2 linked regions of the Coturnix japonica genome follow. The protein of the gene in region 2 purifies or fractionates together with the protein of the main gene of each other region. This does not show direct contact. Links are inferred from orthologs where the notes say so. Each region holds a gene or a part of one and is shown on either strand. Other genes may lie near its edges.

Region 1 (4,333 bases), on a different chromosome or scaffold from region 2:
CAGATTTCTCTGCCACCCTTTTCTCCTGAATCACTGCCTCCTCTTGAGTTTATTCTTCCAATCCTAAGACCAGTGTTAGTGTAACCTCATTTGGCAATCAGCTGACTACAGATATGAGGGACAGGCAGAGAAACACATGTCCTTTAGGGAGTACAGTCCACTGCTCCCACATCCTTTAACATATTCCCAGGCATCAGACTGAAAACTTGCCTGCATTATCAGGTAACCACTTTGGAGTGCCTTTTCCCCCTTAGAGACCATATGCAAGTTCTTTTAAAGGTTTACTTTCCAACAGTCACTCCAAGGCTGTTCCAGAATCTGACAGCTGTGGACTGGGATAAGAGCCTGGTTTTGTTCTCTGTGAGGCAAAATTCACAGTATAACCCCACAGAGACTGGTACTGCTGTGACTCAGCACAGCAACACATAGGATGATTTCTGCAAAATGATTTGCCCCCCCCCCCCCCCCTTCCATTCTGCTGCTACTGTGCCCAACAGATTTTTACCACCAAACAATGAAAAATAAGGGAGTGATTTCATAGGTAAGACACTGCCCCAGGACTGTGAAGCGATTTCAAGAGAAATCCCAAGTGGAAGATTAATCTAGAACCTGGCCACTGTGGCAGCTCTGATCACATCACTGCCTTCAGTTCCCAGAGAAGGCAGATACTGATTGCCCAGCACTTCCCTTTCCCTCCCATAGTTTTTTAAGTAGCAGCGTTCCCTTCCAGGGAATTTCTGGTGTCCTCCAAAACTCACTGGGTTTCCTTTCCTCCCTGAGCTTCTCCAGTCTCTCTGCAATAGCTCTATCTTCTTTGGAGAGCCCTCGGTATCTGGAGTCATCTTGACTGAGTGGTTTTGCATCTGCTTTCTGTTGTCCTTTCAGATGCTTTTGCTTAGCCTCAAACGCTGCTACGCGCCTGTGACAGGGATGGAAAAAGACAACTGAAAACAGAGGTTTAAATCTTGAGATTTGAAAACATCCTCTATGAGCACAAGCTATTTGAAGGACATCAGCATAGAAAAGAAGCCTCTCATTCCTGTACCAGGCTCTCCCATACCAGCACAATGAAGCACTACTATGAATAAGGAAAACCATAACTCTCAGGTGAAGCAGCCGTGACATTTCTGAGGAGACAAGGAACATTTCACCAGCAGACTTATTTCCAAGCCAACCACAATCAGTCAAAGATTAACACAGACAGGCTGTTGTTTGTGAGCGTATTCAGAATTAGTGTCTCCTTCCACCCTCCAAAACAACCACCAAAAAAAAAACAAAAAAAACCAAACAAACAAACAAAAAAAAAAACCAATAAAAAAAAAACCAAAAAGCCCACAAAGCAAAAAGCCCATCCTTAATCCAATATTGAACAAGCAAACATCCACATCACAACCTCCTTCTTTTGCTGGACTCTATGAGGACACAGGGGTTAAGAGCTGAAGGTCTGAAAGGTTACCCTACAGCGGAAACAGGTGGCTGATCAGCAAGTGTAACTCACTTTTTGTAGTTTTCTGGTGGTGACCATTTTGCTGAACTGCTTTGAGATTCTTGTCTGAAACATAAAAAACATTGTTATCTCTGAACTCAAGGCTCCAGCAATGCTTCAATCATCTATTCTCTCAGCCCAAGAGGAATCAGAATACGTGTGTATTGATCACCTGGTACAGTTCTTTCATGACCCCATTAATATAGTGATCAGCTTATGAAAGTGACTAAGATGATACAGCTGCTTTAGACAGGAGGTGACTTCATTCCTAGTCCTATGTTCTTGTTGTTTTGCATTTGGACAAAATTTGTTTCATTTACTCTGGACACCAGGAGGAGCTGAAAGACTCTTGGCCTCCCAGAGCCTGCACGCCCCAGTTCAGCAAGCAGAGAGCGCAGTTAGGTAGGACTCCCAAGGTAATTAGCTTCCATACAGTACAGCTCCCTGAAAGGAGCAACAAACACAAAATTATATAATGCAGAAGCTAAATAAAACGTTACAGAAATAATTATGTAATCACCAGTACCGTGACGACATCTTCTAGGGCACTTGAACATCAGTCAATCCTGTGTAACTGTTTTCTGCCTCTCTGTGTTTGTGTCAAGCTGCTGACCTATGCTTACATAAGGTAGTTAGCACACTTTATTCATTCTTAGAAGGCACAGTTACCTGCACTGTGCTAAGGACAGGCAAAGGCAAACAAGGGCAACACCTTCACTGGACTATTTTCAAGGGTTCAACCATTTCTAAGGGTTCAACTGTGGAAGCTGGGTGAGTGCAGAACACCAACTCACGCAGCCTACAAAACCACAGCCAACACACACTATCTACCTGCTATCCACGCAGGGAAGAATTCCTCCTGCTCTAAATCCATAGTACCGATATTAAACAAACAAGGGAAGGAAGAGGCTACCAAACTACCACGCATCTGAAAGATCATCCTTTCAAACGGCAAAAATAATAGCGGGGCTTATTCTGGCCTCTCCTAGCCGGGCCATCACGGTCTACCCACGAACACTGGGAGGAAAAACCAAAGGCAGGATGCAGTCCCGCTGGCACTTACCCGGTGATCTTCCCGTGGCACTGCTTGCACACCTTCTGCGGAGCGCTCCCGCAGCGGGGCACCGTGGCGCTGCAGCTCAGGCAGGCCGAGCAGAAGGAGCGCCCGCAGCTCCTGCAGCCGCACTGCGGGGACACGAAGCGGGCGGATCAGCTCCCGAGCGGCGGAGCGCGGCGCGACCCGCACCGGGCTACAGCGACGGGACGCACCGACGGCCCAGCCCGGCCCCGCCGACCCCTCGGCCGGACTTGCCTCCTTCTTGAAGAGGCTGAACTTGCAGGCACACCCGTAGCAGCGGCCCTCCATGGCCCTCCCAACACCGCCATACCACGCTCCGCAGCGCCGCGTTCAGCCGGCAGGCACCACCCCGCCCCTCCGCGTCTGCGCGCGGCCCGACGGGAGCGGGTACGGGGAGCGTCGTTTGAAACACGGGCGCTGTGACAGAAGCAGCGAACCGTCACCAAACTGGATCTGGAACCTGAGTTTCAGTTTTCGTCCAGGTGAGGAACCAGCTGTACGATCAGCGTGCCAAACTTGCCCTTATTTTCTGCCTTACTCTTGTTTTCTTGGTGCTGTAGCCTCAACTTATGTCAGGGAAATACACTTTAACAACAAAAACAAACCTAGGAGTGGTAGATTTTTGGGGTGTGTTTCTGTAGTGCTTGATTTCAGGCTGCTTTCGTCTCATAGAAGTGACTGGCAAATCTCTGTCCTGGTTTTACAGATTAAGAGAGCATGTTGCTCAAAGGCCCTGACTCACCTCCCAGATAGGAACCCTGACAGTCCCAAGGCAGGTAAGGTTGGGAATCTTGGACACAAACACTCCTCATCTCATTTCCACAAGCTCGTGGAAATGGCTGTTTGAGCACAGACCTGTTGTGTAACAGCTGCTTGTACATACACAGGAATACACCTATACATGTGTAATCGTTACTGCTGTTACTCTGATTTTTAAGATTAAATCCTTACATATTGGTTTTCCAGGCTGTATATAGTATGTGATGATCTCTGATTAGAGCCTCTCAAAATCAGTGCTCACATTTGAATCCTAAACCTGTGACCATGGTGTCCCTGGTGTCTGTTGTCTGGTGAATAGTAATTCATGTATCTCAGAAACTGAATGTTAATAGCAGGCCTCTACCTCATTATTATACATGGGCAATGCCCACTGTGGGCTGATAATTGTCTATTAGATGCACATCCTCTTCTGCTATGCAATTGAGCGTACCTAAAGCTCACAGCAGGTGTCTGAATTGTTTGAGTCCTCCATTTAATATTCACAGCTAATGGCAGGTGAAAATGAACAGTGGTTAGTATAAGAACGTTCTAGATGTTGCGTTTCCCTGTTTGTTGGGCTGCAAATTTATAGCAAAATAACAAATTTAACTGAAGTCTGCAAGCAGGAATTCAAAACACAGCTGGAGAAACATTGAAGCTTTTGATATCTGCAGAAGGGAGTGGGAGATAGTCTGGAACACACGTGGAATCTCCAGCAAACCTGCATGTTCATTAAGGAAAGCAGTTAACAAAGACCCCTAACATGACTGATGAAAGGTGGAAATGTTAGACTTCAAAAAGAAAAGCTCTTCCTATGAAAGAGAGAACTTATGAATAATGTATTTCAGAAAATGCATTCCTAAATGCAGCCTACATCAGTACTGTTGAATTTGTGCTTTCAAAACAAATGAGAGTGGAATTTTTATAGCCAGGCTTTCTGCCCCTTAGGGCTTATGACTTGCCTGCAAGAAGGGCTTGCTTACAAATAAAGCACCCTGGTTACGCCACAT
Region 2 (4,253 bases):
CTGGGGGCACTCTGGGACCTGGCGCTGTGGTGCCGGTATGGGCAGGGGGCTCAGTCCCTGCCGTGCTGCGATCACAGGGCGGGTGCTCCCCAAGCTCTCAGAGTCTGCAAACGAGCGCTGTTCCCTCCTGGGCTGGGGGCACAGCGGGACCCCTCTGGGCCTCGTGGCTTTGGGGAGGGATACGTAGATCGATGCACTTTTGCTTTTTGTACTTTACCTCTGCCCCTGGCAGGGGATGGTGCTGCTGGGGGATCCGCTGCGCCCCGGCCCAACTCCTCTGCAAACGTTTCTGCTTCCCACGGGCTGTGCCGGGAGGGCCTGGGCTGCAGAGTCCCCACCCAGCACAGCCCTTCTATTTTTGTACTCTTTGTAAATCGCTATTTATACAGACTGGTCATGTGTGGGGTTTGTGATCGGCACTGCGGGGAGCGGCCGTGGGGGGCTGTGATCCATGGGCTGTGATTGATCTATGGGCTGTGATTGATCCATGGGCTGTTATTGATCCATGGGCTGTGATTGATCTATGGGCTGTGATTGATCCATGGGCTGTGATTGATCCATGGGCTGTGGGCCCTGTGGGTGGTGGGTGCTGTGTGTATGTGGGTTGTTTTTTTGCTGTGGGTGCTGTCTGTGCTGCACATATACACATACATACACACACATACACACACACACACACATGCTGCACACACACTCACTGTTCATGCTGTCTTTGCATAGATGCCTGCAGGAATACACACACGTGTGCTGTTTATATGCTGTTTTGTGGTTGCACTGTGTATGGTCCGCAGTGTGTGTACATGGACACACCTGTATACATGGATCCATCTATATACATACGTACGTGTGCACACACGTTGCACACGCAGTTCGGGCTGTGCACAGACAGCAGCTCTGCATTGCATACAGTGAGCAGAGCAGCAGGTAGCGCACACACACACACACACACACACACACACATATATGTGTATGTACCCCCGCAGTCTGTGAGGTGTGTGTGCACTGTGAGCCCACACAGCGCCGTGTTGGCGCAGAGCCGCGATCTCGGCCGTTCACATCCCGCTGCTCCCGGTGCAGCCCCGCGCACCGACCCACGCCACGCTCACACCGACTCGCGGAGCGCGCTGTGCGCATGCGCGTGCCGTCCAACGTAGGCCCCGCCCGCCCCCTGCAGTACCGGAGGGCGCCGCCAGGGGGCGCCGTGTCGGCCGCGCACAGCCGCAGTCGGGCCGGTCCCGCGGGCCCCCGCCGCCGCCGCCGGGCCGGGTCGGGTCGCTGCGGCTGCGGCCGCCACCGGGCGATGAGATGACAACGACCACCCTGCAGGTACCGGCACCGCCCACCGGCACCGGCCGCCAACCGCCCCGCCGGGCCGCCATGGGTGGGCCCGGACAGGCCGAGCGGGGCGGGGCCGGGCCGGGCTCAGGGCGCCGCGTCCCCCCTTAGAAAGCGATCGACCTGGTGACCAAAGCCACCGAGGAGGACAAGGCCAAGAACTACGAGGAGGCGCTGCGGCTGTACCAGCACGGCGTGGAGTACTTCCTGCACGCCATCAAATGTGAGCGGGGACGGGGGGGGCGCGGGGCAACGGGGCAACGGGGCTGACGGCCCGGAATGTCCGTGTAGATGAGGCGCACAGCGACAAGGCCAAGGAGAGCATCAGAGCCAAGTGCAAGCAGTACCTGGACAGGGCCGAGAAGCTGAAGGACTATCTGCGCAGCAAGGAGAAGCAGGGCAAGAGGCCGGTCAAGGAGGCGCAGAACGACACCAAGGGGTGAGTGGGGGCCGCCAACATCCGGCAGGGCCCGGGGTACGGGAGCTGTGACCGCAGCCCTGTGATCTGTGTCCAGCAGCGACAGCGACAGCGAGGGGGAGAACCCGGAGAAGAAGAAACTGCAGGAGCAGCTGATGGGTGAGGGGCCAAGGGGGCACTGCTGGGATTGTGCCTTGTGCCGTGGGGTCAGCCTGGCTGCGTGGGGTTTGGTGGGGCACAGCCGTGGGCTGCAGCTCTCGTCTCTGCCCCACAGGTGCCATCATGATGGAGAAGCCCAACGTGCGGTGGAGCGACGTGGCCGGGCTGGAGGGAGCCAAGGAGGCCCTGAAGGAAGCCGTGATCCTGCCCATCAAGTTCCCACACTTGTTTACTGGTGAGAGTCACTGGCAGCTCCAAGGCTGCTGCTCAGCCGTGGAGAGGGGCCTCATGTCCCACAGGGGGTGGCAGCTGTGCTGGAGGTGTGTGTGCAGGGAGGTGACCCAGAGCAGAAGGGATGCACGTCCCTTCTGTCCCGAGGTCCCTGTGCAGATCCAGTCTGTGCAGTGCAGGACAAGCTGTGACGCTGGGCTCTGTCGCAGGGAAGCGCACGCCCTGGCGAGGGATCCTGCTCTTCGGGCCTCCTGGTACTGGGAAGTCCTACTTGGCCAAGGCTGTGGCCACCGAGGCCAACAACTCCACTTTCTTCTCCGTGTCATCCTCGGACCTGCTGTCAAAGTGGCTGGGAGAGAGCGAGAAGTAAGGTGTCACCAGGGCTGTGGGCTGGCCCAGGGATGGCTGCCCAGGGGGTGGCTGCTCTCCACGCACCACATTCCCTTCCTTGGTGCCAGCACAGGGCTCCAGGGTAGGCAGGGCAGGAGGAAGCTGTGGTGTGTAGGGCTCGTGCCCTTCTGCAGTGGGTGGGCAGTGTGGAGCTGTGGGTCCTTGCCTGGGGTCCTGGGCGGGGGCACCCACCCCTTGCCTTTGTGCCCAGGCTAGTGAAGAACCTCTTTGAGCTGGCGAGGCAGCACAAACCCTCCATCATCTTCATCGATGAGGTGGACTCACTGTGCGGCTCCCGAAATGAGAATGAGAGCGAGGCAGCCCGGCGCATCAAGACCGAGTTCCTGGTGCAGATGCAGGGTGAGTGGGGCTTCCCTTGGCCACATGAGCTGCCCAGGGCGTGCAAACCCTTTGGGTAGGGAACATGGGGTGGGTGAAGCAGTGATCCCCTTTGGGGATGGCTCTCAAGTCCCTGCTGTTTCCCTGCACAGGTGTGGGCAACAGCAGTGATGGGATCCTGGTGCTCGGTGCCACCAACATCCCCTGGGTGCTGGACTCAGCCATCAGGAGGAGGTGAGCAGGACATGATCCCTCTGCAGTGCCCCAAAGCACAGCACTGCACTGCACTGAATATGGCTGTGAGATTTGGCAGTGTGGGGTCAGCCTGTTGTTGGACACAGCCGCTCACCCATGGCCACCTGTGCCACACTCAGGTTTGAGAAGCGTATTTACATCCCCCTACCTGAGGAGGCAGCCCGGGCCCAGATGTTCAAACTGCACCTGGGCAACACCCCCCACTCTCTGACAGAGGTTGACATCCACGAGCTGGCACGGAAGACAGATGGCTACTCAGGGGCTGACATCAGCATCATTGTGCGGGATGCCCTGATGCAGCCTGTCCGCAAGGTGCAGTCAGCGACGCACTTCAAGAAGGTGAGTTGGGAGCCAGGAGCTGTGCTGCTGAGTGGGGGGCACTGAGGCTGTTACAGCACTACCTGCCTTGTACCAGGTCCGCGGCCCCTCCCGCACCAACCCCAGCCTTGTGGTGGATGACCTCCTGACGCCGTGCTCGCCTGGGGACGTGGGTGCCACCGAGATGAGCTGGATGGAGGTTCCCAGTGACAAGCTGATGGAGCCCATCGTCTGCATGGTGAGTGGGGCTGCCAACCGCAGTTTCAGCTGCTGCATTTGGGCCCATCCCCAGCACAGCAATGCTGCCGCCCCAGCCCTACTGGTTCCCCTGCCTCATCCAGCGCTACCACCTGCCTCAGGGCCTAGTGCAGGCACGTGGCAGCTGGGTGCTGGTGTCCTCCCGAGCCCCCCTGCGGGCAGCTCCTGCCCAGCGGCATCACCATAGGGATGTGTGTGTCCCCAGCGTGCTGCCATCCCCCCAGCCTCCACATCTGAGCTGCCACCTGCTCTGTATTGCAGTCGGACATGCTGTGCTCCCTGGCCACCACCCGCCCCACCGTGAACACCGAGGACCTGCTGAAGGTGAAGAAGTTCACAGAGGACTTTGGGCAGGAAGGTTAAGGGCCGCGGTGGATGGTGGGGCCCCGCTGCTCCCAGGAAGGCGGCCGTGCCAAACAGGTTCATCTGCAGCTCACAACCCAACCCATCTCACTTCAGCACCAGGCAGGGAGGGGGGCAGTGCTGCCCTGGCAGGGCCGACATTACCAGAGGTGCCCCGTGCTCCTCTGCTCCACACTCTTCTTCCTGC

What was found.
Region 1: the proteins of VPS4A (region 2) and ZFYVE19 purify together in Homo sapiens (affinity purification with mass spectrometry; 3 studies listed by BioGRID and IntAct, counting the BioPlex papers as one, with this or other methods). This does not show direct contact. The link is inferred for Coturnix japonica from reciprocal best matches to the Homo sapiens genes VPS4A and ZFYVE19.

Annotation. Positions count from the first base shown.
Region 1 is NC_029520.1:21,663,219-21,667,551, reverse strand, and holds the start of ZFYVE19 (abscission/NoCut checkpoint regulator), read right to left. Parts: upstream 2,927-4,333; 5' UTR 2,853-2,926; coding exon 2,799-2,852; intron 2,672-2,798; coding exon 2,550-2,671; intron 1,553-2,549; coding exon 1,499-1,552; intron 920-1,498; coding exon 759-919; intron 1-758. UniProt on the Homo sapiens protein: Key regulator of abscission step in cytokinesis: part of the cytokinesis checkpoint, a process required to delay abscission to prevent both premature resolution of intercellular chromosome bridges and accumulation of DNA damage.
Region 2 is NC_029526.1:16,878,494-16,882,746, forward strand, and holds the start of VPS4A (vacuolar protein sorting-associated protein 4A), read left to right. Parts: upstream 1-1,193; 5' UTR 1,194-1,305; coding exon 1,306-1,326; intron 1,327-1,446; coding exon 1,447-1,558; intron 1,559-1,626; coding exon 1,627-1,774; intron 1,775-1,850; coding exon 1,851-1,912; intron 1,913-2,027; coding exon 2,028-2,147; intron 2,148-2,352; coding exon 2,353-2,509; intron 2,510-2,744; coding exon 2,745-2,893; intron 2,894-3,024; coding exon 3,025-3,106; intron 3,107-3,246; coding exon 3,247-3,466; intron 3,467-3,542; coding exon 3,543-3,683; intron 3,684-3,964; coding exon 3,965-4,066; 3' UTR 4,067-4,253. UniProt on the Homo sapiens protein: Involved in late steps of the endosomal multivesicular bodies (MVB) pathway. Recognizes membrane-associated ESCRT-III assemblies and catalyzes their disassembly, possibly in combination with membrane fission.